Coturnix japonica: one gene and its partners. The protein of the gene in region 4 interacts with the protein of the main gene of each other region in a pairwise test. Links are inferred from orthologs where the notes say so. Each region holds a gene or a part of one and is shown on either strand. Other genes may lie near its edges.

Evidence for each region.
Region 1: the proteins of regulator of G-protein signaling 19-like (region 4) and GNAZ interact in a two-hybrid assay, tested with the Homo sapiens proteins (2 studies listed by BioGRID). The link is inferred for Coturnix japonica from reciprocal best matches to the Homo sapiens genes RGS19 and GNAZ.
Region 2: the proteins of regulator of G-protein signaling 19-like (region 4) and GNAO1 interact in a two-hybrid assay, tested with the Homo sapiens proteins (2 studies listed by BioGRID). The link is inferred for Coturnix japonica from reciprocal best matches to the Homo sapiens genes RGS19 and GNAO1.
Region 3: the proteins of regulator of G-protein signaling 19-like (region 4) and guanine nucleotide-binding protein G(i) subunit alpha-1 interact in a two-hybrid assay, tested with the Homo sapiens proteins (2 studies listed by BioGRID). The link is inferred for Coturnix japonica from reciprocal best matches to the Homo sapiens genes RGS19 and GNAI1.

The regions. Positions count from the first base shown.
Region 1 is NC_029530.1:7,698,353-7,700,682, forward strand, and holds part of GNAZ (guanine nucleotide-binding protein G(z) subunit alpha), read right to left. Parts: intron 286-2,330; coding exon 1-285. UniProt on the Homo sapiens protein: Guanine nucleotide-binding proteins (G proteins) are involved as modulators or transducers in various transmembrane signaling systems.
Region 2 is NC_029526.1:480,253-484,313, reverse strand, and holds the start of GNAO1 (guanine nucleotide-binding protein G(o) subunit alpha), read left to right. Parts: upstream 1-1,243; 5' UTR 1,244-1,502; coding exon 1,503-1,620; intron 1,621-1,693; coding exon 1,694-1,736; intron 1,737-4,061. UniProt on the Homo sapiens protein: Guanine nucleotide-binding proteins (G proteins) function as transducers downstream of G protein-coupled receptors (GPCRs) in numerous signaling cascades.
Region 3 is NC_029516.1:10,215,962-10,219,553, forward strand, and holds part of guanine nucleotide-binding protein G(i) subunit alpha-1, read right to left. Parts: intron 2,825-3,592; coding exon 2,696-2,824; intron 1-2,695. UniProt on the Homo sapiens protein: Guanine nucleotide-binding proteins (G proteins) function as transducers downstream of G protein-coupled receptors (GPCRs) in numerous signaling cascades.
Region 4 is NC_029535.1:8,395,469-8,399,060, reverse strand, and holds part of regulator of G-protein signaling 19-like, read right to left. Parts: intron 2,979-3,592; 5' UTR 2,845-2,978; intron 2,576-2,844; 5' UTR 2,540-2,575; coding exon 2,439-2,539; intron 1,300-2,438; coding exon 1,225-1,299; intron 565-1,224; coding exon 330-564; intron 1-329. UniProt on the Homo sapiens protein: Inhibits signal transduction by increasing the GTPase activity of G protein alpha subunits thereby driving them into their inactive GDP-bound form. Binds to G-alpha subfamily 1 members, with the order G(i)a3 > G(i)a1 > G(o)a >> G(z)a/G(i)a2.

The DNA of each region.
Region 1 (2,330 bases), on a different chromosome or scaffold from region 4:
GACAAACTGGACGTTCTTGGTATCAGTGGCGCAGGTGAAGTGCGAGTAGATCTCCTTGGTCTCCTTGTTGCGATTTAAGTCCTCAAACTGGCGCTGGATGTAGACTGCTGCCTCCTCATACGTGTTTTGGCCTTTGTATTCAGGAAAGCAGACTGTTAAGGGGATGCGTCGGATTTTTTCTGCCAGCAGATCTTTCTTATTCAAAAAAAGGATGAGGGAAGTGTTGATAAACCAGTTGTTGTTGCAGATGGAATCAAAGAGGCGCAAACTTTCTGCCATTCGACTCTGTAAGTGAGAAAACAACGGGGTAAATAGCATTTCAGTGATAGCACACAATATATTATTATTATTTCAATTAATGAGCAAAATGTGCTTGTAGAAGGAACATTTATTCTATTTGGTGACTGTTCATCTTACCTGAGCAAGAAACTTTAGGAACCTTAATTCACTCATTTTGATACACTTTTCTACAGTCTGGCACTTATTATTTTTAATATTTTTTTAAAAAATTTACTATTATGAGGGCAAAATACAGCTGAATCCACTGGACGTGATCATGTGAGACATTTAAGTTTAGTATCTTAGCCCTCTGAGCTTAAGCAGCAAGTAACTAAACACTGCACTGAACTACAAAGAGAAGATAAGGGAATTTGTCTTATTTAGACTGGTTAAGAAGAGACTAAGGGTTGATCTAATAAAACCCTTCAATTATTTGAAGCATAGTTACAAAGATGATGAAGATAAATTCTTATCATCAGTATCACATGAAGTATCATGTAGCAGTGAACACTAATTGCAGCTTGGAAGATTTAGATTAGAATTTAGAGGAAAAAAATAACTAGAAGACTCAATGTTTTGTGAAACCCCCATCTGTACTTGTTTTCTCCCCTCAACTTGATAGAGTTGATCTGGCCTGATTTACTGTTGGCAATAGTCCAGCTTCAGCTGGGATGGGATAATAAATGATCTTCAGAGATCACATCTGGCCAATCTTTAATTCTGTGAATCATAAGAACATATTTATCATTCAAACCATAAATGAGAAGACAATTTTTTGTATTCAGTTTTATGCAGATCTCAAACTTTTTATCCCAAAGGGAAGAATTTAAGTACAAGGGTTATTTTTCTGCTAGAAAGAGCTACACTTAGCTGTCACTATTCTGTTGATGATGTAGGATGAAAGGGAAATAGCCAAAGAATGTAGTTGTGGCCTCTCTGAATACCCATTCTCGACTGCTTCATTTTGTCAGGCTCACTTCACCTTAGAGTAGCCCTAAGGTCTGTCACCAAAGCAACTGTTTGCCTTAAATGAAGTGAAATAATGCCTCGCCTATATAAGAGAATCACACTACTTTCTCCAGGAATAGTTAGAATTATGGAAGTAGTATGCTACATAACATACTGGTAAGAAAAACAAAACTTTAAATATTATTTATAGCAAAGAACTTTATCATAATGACAGTCTCTGGAAAAAAAAAATACAAAAAGCAAGTATATTTAATAACTCATATTTGACAGAAAACCTAAAGAATGACCCCCCCATACACTATTTTACATAGAAAATCTATTATAATAACTCCTCAAAACAGAGCTGTAGGTTTACAATCATAGATCATGTTAGAAGTCCACTTTATACTGGCTGTTCAACAATGTATTTTCCTGTCCAGTTTAGCACGAAAAATAACACTTTTTAAAATCACAAAATATGAAATAACTTCCCAGGAATTAGTGACCACCACAAAACATAAATACACAGAACTATACAATATGCCATAAAGAGAGAATGAGATAAAATTATGATATATCATCTACATTTTATGCATTTCTAAAAATAATTACAATTTCAAGGAGAAAAGGAAGTTACTATAGAACTCAAAAGAACTTGCAAGAGAATATAAAGCAAGGATGTAAACTAGAAAATATAAAGGTTGTAAAATTAAACGCTCAAATGTCAAATGCTGAAATCATCATTTCCAATGTAGCATTATTCATGTAACTCACGTGTTTGAATGAATGCACTTTTTTCTACATATGCTAGTCAATATTTTCCTTTACTGTCACTACTCAGTCTATACATCTATACTTCACTATAAAATTACTATTTATGAGCTGCTGAAGGGACAGAATTACTAGTTTCTTCTCAAGCTTATAATTATTGTATCTGAGTATTTCATTGGCTACATTTGTTTTCCCAGCATGTTGTCAGATTAAGAGGTACTGCTAACAACAATGTATAAAATACACAATGAGAAATTAGTATAGAAGAGACCCAGTAATTCTAGATACTCAGTTTAGGCGCTTAAAACCTATTTTCTCAGCACACTCATTTC
Region 2 (4,061 bases), on a different chromosome or scaffold from region 4:
CCGCCTCTGGATTTCTGGATTGTGGTTTTCCTATTCTGCACTTTTCATAATGCCCTCTGGCTGGTACCATTGAAATGAAACCTACTGATTGAAATTCTGATCCTATTGATTTTACACAGGAGATCTGCTCAAGTATGAAAGAGCAGGAATTGCTCCGCAGCCACCCCCACCCCCACCCGCTCCCTGCTGAATACAGGCAGTAGGTTTGCTTTCCCATGCAGGTATACCCTTTTCCCCTGGGCTCCCAGAAATAAATTACCCCAAATTCAGATATTCAGTACCTATTAGCTCACAAATGTTCGGTAAATACCGCTGGCCCTTGAGTACGCTAACATTATTTATGAGCTCCCTTTTACTTCCCTTTGTCTGCTCTGCCTCACATCTCTGCTATACACTGTTAACCACATGCCACGCTTCTCCCCTTTGTTTCAGAGGTGTAGAAGGAAAATGGAAACGGTGCTTTATGGGAAGGAGGTCATATAATGTCAGCCTGTGCCCAGCCCCACCTGGGCCGGGTGTTTCATTATGGATAGTCACAGCGGGCAGCGGCCCCACAGCATCCTTCTGGTTCTGTTTGCAGGGAGGTGGAGAGGGCTGTGGCAGCAGCTCTGTTCCTTCAGTGAGCTCCTCGGCCTGGCTGCTCGTGGCAGAGGGCAGCCTGCTCCCAGAATACAGGCCTTGGTTTCATAGAATCAATCAGAGCTCTCCCTTCCCTGGGTCCAACCCCAGCTCACCCCACCAGGACCACATGGCACGGCTCTGACAGCTCCATGGATGGTGACTCCCCCCTTCCCTGCGCAGCTGTGCCACCGCCTCACTCTTAAAGAAGGAATAGTTCCCAGTCCCCAACCTGACCATCCGCGGTGCAGCTCGAGGTCACTACCTCTCACCCCGCCGCTGTTATCTGGAGCAGAGGCCGAGCCCCCCCCCAACCTGCTGTCAGGGGTCGCAGAGCCATGAGCTCCATGCCGAGCTCCATGCCGAGCTCCATGCCGAGCTCCATGCCGAGCTCCTCTCCATCTGACCCAGCCCGTTCCCTCATGCGCTGTGCTGGGAGCATGCGCGGTACTCGCGCGTCACGGCAGCGGGCGAGGCCTGCGGAGCGCGTCCCCCTCCCCCGGCACATCCCGCACATCCCGCACCGCCGCCGCATCCCCGCGCCCCGCCAGGCGCGCAGCCCGGAGCGGCCCCGCCCCGTTCGTCACGTTCCTCCTCCCCCTTCGCTCCTCCTCCTCCTTCAGCTCCGCCCCGCCCCGCCCGCGGCCGCCCGCGCTGCCCGCAGCCCGTGGATGCGCTGAGCGCTCGGGCACGGAGCCGCCGGCCCCGCCGCTGCGGAGCCCGCAGGCCTTTGTTAATCCCCGCGGCTGTCGGCGTTGCGCTGCCCGCAGCTCGGTGCGCCCGGCGGCGGCGGGGGCTGCGCTTTTTTTTTTATCCCCTCCCTTTTTTTTTTTCTTTTTCTTTTCTTTTTTTTTCTTTTTAATTCCATTCAATCCGTTCTCGCCATGGGATGTACCCTGAGCGCCGAGGAGCGGGCCGCCCTGGAGCGCAGCAAGGCCATCGAGAAGAACCTGAAGGAGGACGGCATCAGCGCGGCCAAAGACGTGAAGCTGCTGCTGCTCGGTGAGCCCCGCTCCGCTCCGCGCCCCGCGCCGCCGCGCCCCGCGCTCACCGCTTGTCTCTCTCTGTCCCGCAGGGGCCGGAGAGTCGGGGAAGAGCACCATCGTGAAGCAGATGAAGTGAGTGCCGCGGGGCGCGGGGCGGCGCGGAGGGCCGCGGGCGCCATGTTGTACCCGAGGGCAGCGCCGGGCGGGAGGCGGCGGCCGCTGCTGTTCGGGGCCCCGTGGTGCTGAACGCCGGGATGAGGGCGGCGGGGCGGGCGGTGGGCGGCTGCGGCCGGGACCGGCGCTCGGGAGGAGGAGGAGGAGGGAGGGGGAAAAAAGCACGAAATCCGCCCGTAATGCGGATTTAAAGCGAGGCTCGCTGCCACCCAAAGCCCCTTTTACCCGAGATTTGAGCCTTTTAATTAATGAGAGGCGAACTTGGCCGCCGGTCGCCAATTATGTTGAAAACGGGTTATTAAAAAGGGGAAAGGAAAAACACGCGACCCAACGCGCCCTGAAAAATCAGCCCTGCCTTCATGCAGCACCTCCCTGACAGCTGTGCCGGGCCCCAATGGGAGTGGGCTGACATGGCTGCCCCACACCGTGCCCCCAGCACACAGTGATCCCAGCACGTGGCCAGGCGGTGCTTCCAGGGGGAGAGCCAGCGGGGCTGTGGGAGAGCATAATGAGGGGTGGGAGAGCCTGTAGAGGTGTGGGAGAGCCAACAGAGGTGTGGGAGAGTCAACAGAGATGTAGGAGAGTCAACAGAGATGTAGGAGAGCCTACAGAGATTTGGGAGAGCCTTGTAGAGATGTGGGAGAGCCAACAGAGGTGTGGGAGGGCCTTTAGAGATCTGGGAGAGCATATAGAGATGTGGGAGAGTCAGTGGTGGTGTGAGAGAGACAACAGAAGTATGGAAGAGCCATTGGAGATGTGAGAGAACCTATAGAGATGTAGGACATCATATAGAGGTGTGGGAGAGTGTACAGAAGAGTGGGAGAGTCAACGGGGGTGTGGGGAGCTCAATGGAGGCATGGGGATCCAACGGAGGCATGAGAGAGCCAGCAGAGGCACAGGGAGCTAATGGAGGTGCGGGGAAGCCAGTGAAGGTGCAGGGAACCAACGGAGGTGTGGAGGTGCAGAATTACTCCATTCCCTTTTCTTCCCTTTAATTAAAGCCCATCCAGCCGCAGCCTCCCACTGGAACGAGCAGGCGCCATAGCTGTGCATTGGGGCTGGGTGTCACGGTGGTAGAGGCACGGAGCGGTTCTTGTTTCCCGATAGGGAAGGAGCCGGTGTCTGGGAGGGGCCGTGGGGCGGGCGGTGTGCCCGATGTGCCCGGTGTGCCCGGTGTGCCCGGTGTGCCCGGTGTGCCCGTAGCCATCCGCAGTCCCTCCGCGCTGTCCCTCGGGCGCGGCGTGGCGCGGCTTTCAGGCGGTTCTCGTGGTGGACAGCGCCCAGCGGGGACTCGAACCGCGGGGAGCGCAGCGCTCGTCTCCTCCCTCGGCGCTCGGCTGCCTTCGGAGAGCGCTCGGGGGCGGTCGGGGGGGAGCCGAGCAGGCTCGGAAATAGCCGAAGGGGCTCGGGCGCCGCTCGCCAACCCTCGGGCGTGGGCTCGCCGCGGGCCCGCAGCCCGGCGCGGTGCCGTGATTGTACGGGGAACAGCACATCTCCTGTAGCGGGGGGGTCCCAGAGGACCGAACCACCGTCCCCGCCCGAGGCAGCGTTCTTCCCATAGAGCTGCAGGGCTGTGGGAGCGAGCAGCCTCGCCCTCGGTGCCGTTCCATCCGCCTCTCCCGCTGCTATCGGTGTGCAAAGGCTCCGAGGCCCCGTCAAAGGGCATTTGGGGATGTGGGGCCGGGAGGATCGGTTTGGTTTGCACTTGTTTGTATGTGAAAGGTGGATCGGGAGAGGAACTGCTGCAGATGAACACCACTAAATTATTTAATCTCTAGGAATGGCTTCTGCAGGAGCGTGCTGGAATGGCGGGCGATGCTTTGGTGGAAGGAGAGGCTGTGGCTGCCACTGGAACAGCGACAGCGCTGTGGGTGAAGGGGCAGCTGTGGCCATGGTGCCTTACACAACCACGCACGGGCTCCTGTGCCGCGGGGACCAGAGCTCTTGTTGTTTAAACGAACTGGTTCCAGATAAAAGCCGGCTGGCTGGGCTATATTAGTAGAGTGAGGGCTGAAAAACACCCTGTTGTAGGTCTATATGTTGAAGGGAGCAGCCCTAATGTGGCACACGGCAGCCTGCAGCCTTGTGCCTGAGGATGCGGAGCTGGCTGCCATGCTGGGAGCTCCGGGCGAGCAGTGGGGCTGGGTGGGGACGCGGCAGCAGCCGGGGGGAGCCGGCACCGCAGGGGAAACCAATGCTTCTGAAAATGAATTTAAATATAATGCAGGCATTAGCATTTCACCTGGTCAAGCTCCATTACACGGGGCTTGCTGAGAACCTAAT
Region 3 (3,592 bases), on a different chromosome or scaffold from region 4:
GTGTACTTCTTAAGTGACACTGAAAATTATTTTCAACATTCTCTTCTTAAAAGACAAAGCAGGCATCATATAATAAGACAGACTAGTAATTTCCCCTCTAATAAAAAACTTTTTGGAAATGCAGTTAAGTGGCACAACTAAACTATAAAGATGTTTCTTTCCAATTCCCTGCTAATCAGAAACAGCGTGATATGAAAAGACCACATACAAGCACTTAACAGCAGAGGAACAGCAAGTTAGCATAGTTTACATAAATTTGCTTTTCTCTGCTATCTAAGTGCTTTGAGGACTATTTTTTAACATCTGAGCTACAGTGAATCTGGAAGACTGAATGTTTTATTAGACATCTTTATTAACTGAACCTCAAGTATTCTGCAAGCCAGAAAAACAGTATCCTGGATTTAATGAACTAAGTAATGAAAAAAAGAATTAAACAACCAAGCAACAACAACAGAAACAAAATGCAATCTAATAAGCGGACAATAGTACTACCCTAAAATGGATGCAAATGGCTGAATTTTCTCAACAAAACAGAACACAGCCCTTTTCCATCTGTCTCCTTTCTACCATGCAAAGAAGAGTCTTGTCTCAGATTCCTGTGATTACTTTCAGCTTAAAAACAATGTGAAAAGGTCACCATATGCCTCCTTAGCTATGGTAGCCAATATTTTACCACGCAAATATTGGATTTTTCCTCCTTGTTACAAGGAAATGCAATTATTCCTTTTAAGACAGGCCTGACTTATGTCTTCAGTGATATTTCCAAGCAATTTTAACTTTTTAAGGCATCATCATGAAAAAGTTTAGAATTCAGTAAGTATAAAAATATTTACACGGGAAGGAGATGACGGAAGAACAAAGGATAGAACTTCTCCATCCACTTTAGTTAGCATCTACCATGAAAGCCTTAATTGTGTACACAGAGATCTGTTAGGTCACAGTCTCAGAACACTAAGACACTGACAGAAGCTGCCTGATATTCAGATAAATAAAAGAGCTTTGAAAGAATGAGAAGCTTGGATGCTTTACAGATTCCTCCTCACAATCTGGGAGTATGCCTTAATATTCCAATCATAGTGCAGTTTGGCACTATACTATGAATACTATATTAATACTATAAAAGTTTTGCTTCTGCAGAATACATTACCGTCTACAGTAGACTACAAAGAAAGACAAGGCAATACTGAAAGAATTAAAGTTTGTAAGAGCTGAATCTACCTGCCCTATCTAAAGGATGATGCCATTAAATAAATGCTTCAAGGAACTTCCATTTAATGTATTTAAATAATACAGACTTCCCTGGTGAGATTGCATGGTGAATGTCAATATATTAAGAGAAATTATTTCACTGAACCAAGTCTAAAGCACCACAGATGGTCCTGTCCTTCAAGTCATCTCTATGCTAATCTTTGTTGCTTAGCTCTATGGATTGGTTTCTGAATGGTTTATCAGCAAGTGTGCAAATTTATAGATCTGTGCAAGGTATTTCATTAACAATTAATGATTTTTTTAAAGCTAGTGTTGCCAAGTTTGAGATGCTTTGCTCCTTTCTATTATTTAAGCTGAGAACACAGCTCCAGCACCCATAGAACATGTGATATGTTATGAACATGTGATTCTTATGATTTCTTTCACTGTTAGCTTGTTTTTTCTTGTTGCTCTTGTTATGTTTTTTGTTTTTGTTTTTTGTTTTTTTTTTTTTTCCTTTTAAGGTTATACAAGTTGATTGCTTCCCTACTCCCCAAGCCCCAGACATGAATAAGGCTTATTTGACAAATATTTTTTGTAACCTCTCTCACCTGTCACAAAAGATAGGAGGCTCTGGAAAGTCTCATAATTAATTAACTGACTTTTATCATTGATTATGTTTTCCCCAGGCTGTAAGAGGAGGGGGTGGTGATGTACATGTGTAGACAGAAAACCTACTGATTTGGTGTACCACATGACTAAGATAAATTGCAGTTGATGAGATTCAATTGGTTATTTTTAGAAACCAGAATGTGTATAGATGTGCTGACAACTATCTCCACACACTCTAAAACATACATGCAATGAGAGTTGTACTGAGCTTCCTTCTCATTTTCCTAGAAAGGAAAAGCCAAAGTAGTGTTACACTTACACTATCCTACACTTTCATAATGAATGTCTTTAAACAGAAGATGGTTACAAGGCTAGTAGTGTTTGGTACAAACTGTGTCAAAAGAAACTTTACTAACAGTCTTTCATCAGTAAATAAAGTATTACCTTACAAAAACCTAAAGTATAGCTTTAAGTTCAATTCTCCAGGAAAAAGGATTTGCTGTTTCATAACCAGAGCAACAAATATTTACAGCTCTCCAACTGAATTTAAAGGGAAAAATCTGATCAAACAACTATATGTTAACACAGTATAAAAGTGAATATTTCAAGATTTGATTTACACTGAAAATAAACTTTCCAAAAAGCTTCAAATAAAAACAAAAGCATTTATTACTTAATATTGCCATATTTATATTGATTTACTATAGAAATTCAAACAACTCCCAGATACCTTCAGAAAACTGAGACAAGCAGGAATTTTCCAGTGGAAAGAAAAATAATAAAATAATTAGTTATGGTTAGACAAATTTGTTAAATTGCATCACTAAAAGTCCATCCACGAGAACTTTACAAAAGCTACTAACAGACAGATGAATACGCAGAATAATTTACATACTTAAAATGAAGATCTTTGAAAGTAAAGTGAGTTTCCACTATTCCTGTAGTTTTCACTCTAGTCCTGAGAACATCCTGTTGAGTTGGAATGTAGCTTGTTTGTGCTATCCTGTCCAAGTCATTCAAGTAACTGGAGGTAAAAATAAATACTGCATTCAGTTATTCATAAAATAGTAATCAAATAATTGTGAAAAATTACACAAGTTCTAGTTCTATTCATTACACTGTACATGACTCTTATATGAACAATGTTCTCTGAGATAAAACGTTATTTTCCTCTTATTTTCCCACTTCTTTTTTAAAAATGAAGTTTTAAAGACACCTTTGTTCTAGAAGAAAAATCATGATTGATTCTACTACAAAGCACTACTATTCTGAAATCCCAGAAAGCAGACACGGTTCTACATTTACCAGTGTTCTTTGTATTAACACCTTCACCCTTGTATAGCTCTGCAGGAAGTTAATGTACTTTTACTACAACTAAAACCCAAGTTACTCTGAAAACAGTTGTGAAGAGAACAACTCAGTATCTTAGTCAGAATTAATATATGTTTTAGTATAATGCTAAATACACGATCAGTGATTTTCTACTGAGAATTTATAATTGCACATATGTTTACAACAGTAAGGTCTCATTTCCAAAATTGTTGTGATGCACGCCAAGAAGCCCAGTGATTCTAAAAACAATACAAATCTTATTTGTGCTTTTTGCACAGTAAATAGAGAAGATATCAACATTTAAGTGTAATCAAAACTTAGCAATTCTCAGGATACAATTGCATGTCTAAAACATCAATTTTACTATGAAACTGGAGGCAAAGTTATCTAAAACAACGAAACAAAAAAGCAGAGTTTACTAGAGGAAGAGGGATCCTTCTAAATGAAGAGCTCTGTACAG
Region 4 (3,592 bases):
GGGTACAGCCCCGCACGGTACGGAGCGGGGTTGCGGTGTCCCCCGCAGCCGCATCATCTCGGCACGATGGTGCCCTCGTGAGGTTTCGGCCCCGCAGCACAACCCCGGAACGCGAGGAACTTCGGGGACAGACAGGATGGGGATGTAGCTGGGTACCAACATCCTTCCGATGCCATCCCGTTGGATTTAGGGACATAGCACCGTGACCATCCCTCCGGTACCCCCAACACTGTGCACCTGGGTGTCGTTTCCCTAAGAACCCACCCCCAAACCTCCACTTAAACCACAGAAATGGACCAAAACCTTCCCGGATCATTTGTGCCACGTACTTCCTTGGGTGAGAGGATGGAGATGTAGTCCTCATAGATGGTCCTGGCCTTCTCATCGATGGTGTGTTTGTTGCATTCGGTTTTGAGCTCCTCGCACGCCAACCAGAAGAGCATGTTCTCCTCACTGTATTCAGTCCTCAAGAACTCCCGGAAGACGTTGCGACCCGCCGGGCTCTTCATCAGCTTGTCAAAGGACTGAGCCCAGCCCCGAACCTCCTCCGTGGTGGGTTTGGAGCTGTGGGGTCAGCGGGGTGGGAAGCAAAGGGAAGGTGTTACAGCTGGAGTACAGTGCTGGATATGGGATGGGATGGGGCCAGGTTTATTTCACTGTATCCATCCCCCAGAACAAGGAGTGCACAGGGATGATCCCAGCTCTGAGCCATCCCAGGGGGAATGCTCCCAAACATCCCCTGTGCTCGTGCTCTTGCTCAGGCTCTGTTCATTATGGAGCTCCTGGAGATCTCCATAAGTGCCCATGGGGTTTGTCCCGGCTCTGCTCAGCCAGGCCACAGGTTAAAAGTGAATTCCACCAAAGGGGAATTATGCTGCTGGCTCTGCACATACCCAGGAGGGCACAAACCCCTTCCTGTGCTGACCATGCACCAGCGCTGACTGTTGGGGGAGCAAAATCCTAATCACTAAAGCAAGGCAGGAGCCATCATTACCACTGGCTAATGAATGCATCTGATCCCTGGCACTAGCAGAGCACCCATGGCTGAGCTGTGTGCTCATTTCCAAGGCAGTGGATGCTCAGAGCCCCCACATATCCCTCCAAGCAGAGAGGCTGTGAACGGCTCCCTGTGCCATGCCATGAGATGCTGCGCCATGAGATGCCGTGCCATGAGATGCCGTGCCATGAGATGCCGTGCCATGCACCCGGTGTCCCCGCACTCACCACGCTTCACAGTTTGGGATGGTCTCCAGTTTGGTCTCCCGGGACGCCCTCCACGCTCGCTCCCGGTCCTCGTTCCTAACGTGGAGATGGAAAGGTAGTAATGGGTGGTGGGACACGGGGCTGCAGCCCCACCTCACCCTGACCCCGCTACCTCCTGCCCATCAAACTCCCTTTGTAGGCACCCACATCCCACACCTCTGTTCCTTCCCTTCCTTTGTGCAATTCCGCCCTGACCACGCAGCGATGTTTCCTGCACTGCTGTGCCAACATGCACCGTGCCACCCAGCACCAATACATTGCTGCAGGGCACCGTGCTGTGCTATCACCTCCTCCAGCTGCCAGCAGGGCTCAGCCCACGCAGGAAGCAGACGGCAGGGACAGAATTAGGAAGACAAAAGTGCCGGATCCTGCACTTGGTGCAGCCACGACGCACAGCACCAGCACCGCCTGCAGGCAACAACTGCAGCACCGATGTCTCCTGTTCCCCCCATCCTCAGCCTTGTGCTGCAATAGGAAAGCGGCCTCCAGCCAACTTCCCCCAGGCCCACCAATTTCGGAGCTGGGCTCCGACCGCAGAGCTTCCTGCTTGCAACACTGGCCCTGGCTGCAATCCTGGGTTTAGCCCTCAGAGCAGCAGCTGGGCTGGGCACAGGGCTCAGTGCATGATGCATCCGAATCTGGGATTGCATTGCACCATCCTCGATTGCTTCTGCTCCCAAAGTCCTGCAGATGACCAGGTGGGACACGGGTGGGTGTTGTGCTGCTCTCAGTCCTTGTTGCATTGTTACATTCTATGATTCATTTGAGGAAACAAAGCTGGATCAGGAGAATGGGGCTCCAAGAGCAGGGCCTTGCACAGTGATGATGCATCAGTGCTGCGCTTGGTCCCTGGGTTTGTTCAGCTCCAGGTCTGGATGATCCTCTGGGTTCAATGCCGTCAGTAGCTGCAGAACCCAACACTGCAGCGGTGCACAAAGCTGTCAGCAATCTCACAATGTGTTGATGCTGAGAGCAGGTTAACTCTCCAAAACCTGATATATGGGCACCCCTGAGATAAGGTGAGTGGGGACGGCTCCATCCCAGCTGTGCTCCTGCACTGCTGCCCATGGTGCTGTGCCCAAAGGGACCCCATCATGCAGCTCCAGCTGCACCCACACCTCGGTGCTGCACCAGCCACGTGGGACCAAAGTGCTGCTCGTGTAACACGTGCTTACCATGAGCAACTGCAGCAGCAGCACCAGCAGAAGCAGCAGGCGTTGGGGCGGTGGTTGCTGGCGGGTTGCACCGTTGTCGGAGAAGTCTCATGCCGGGACATCGGAAGGGGTGGCTCTGCGGACGCGGGTCCTGCGTACTGCAAGGCAGGAGGGAATGGAGAGCAGTGGGTGAGCAGAGGATAGGCAACCAACCTGGCTCCCCCCACCTCAAGAAGCAGCATTAGGGTCCAAGGGGCATCCAAGGGGCTGAGGTCTTCCCTCTGCTCTAGGTGACACACTGTCCCCATGCGTCCTCCTCTCCAGACCTCACAGAGGTGACCAAGGGACCCTCTCACTGTGGTTTGCTGTGCTTTATTTGCACTCCCCTCCCTGTCCCCCATTGCTCCCAGCCCTGTTTCCATCTCACCTGCGTCCCAGCCTCATACACGGTGGCCGTGGGTGGGTCGTGCTCCAGGGGTTCTTCTGCTGCTCGCTGCTGCTCCCAGGCTGCGGGTGACCCGAGCAGCCCGGTTAGCGTTCCTGCAGCCGCACGGCTGGAGCCTGCAACAGGCAAATGGAGTGGCACCATGTTACCACCATGGTGAGCATGGACCCTGCGTGGGAGCATCCGGGGAAGGGCTGTGCCATGCTGGGAAGAGCCCTGTGCAGGCTGGGGTAATGCAGGCAGACATTGGTGCAAGAAAAGGAAGTGAGAAGGAAAGGAGGAGGGGAGGGTACGGCAGTGGGCTGCCCCTCGCTGCTCTCTGACCCTGCTCTTGCTTTGCTGGCAGTGTGACAGTGTGGCACTCATAGGGTCCCCCCACTGTTTGGGGACTGCTTACTCCATGCTGGATGCTCCAAACCCCAGCTCTGCCCTGCAGGGATTGGGCACAGTCCACGGTCAGTGTTCAGCCTCGCACAGCTGTGCCCCATACCACTGCTAGGCACCATGAAGGCATTTAGGTTCAGGACAGGGAAGTCAGAGCTGCTCCACGGCATCATGTGAGTGGAAGGAAACGAGGGAAGTTCTCAACTCCCAGCACTACACCCAAACTCTGTGCCAAGTGTTGGCCAGGCTCAGAGCTCTGCAGAGCTCAGTGGCCCCGACTGCACCTGCTCCATTCCCGTCCTGCAGTGGAAATGCTCCTTGTCCCATTGCCCCAGGTCACCATCCT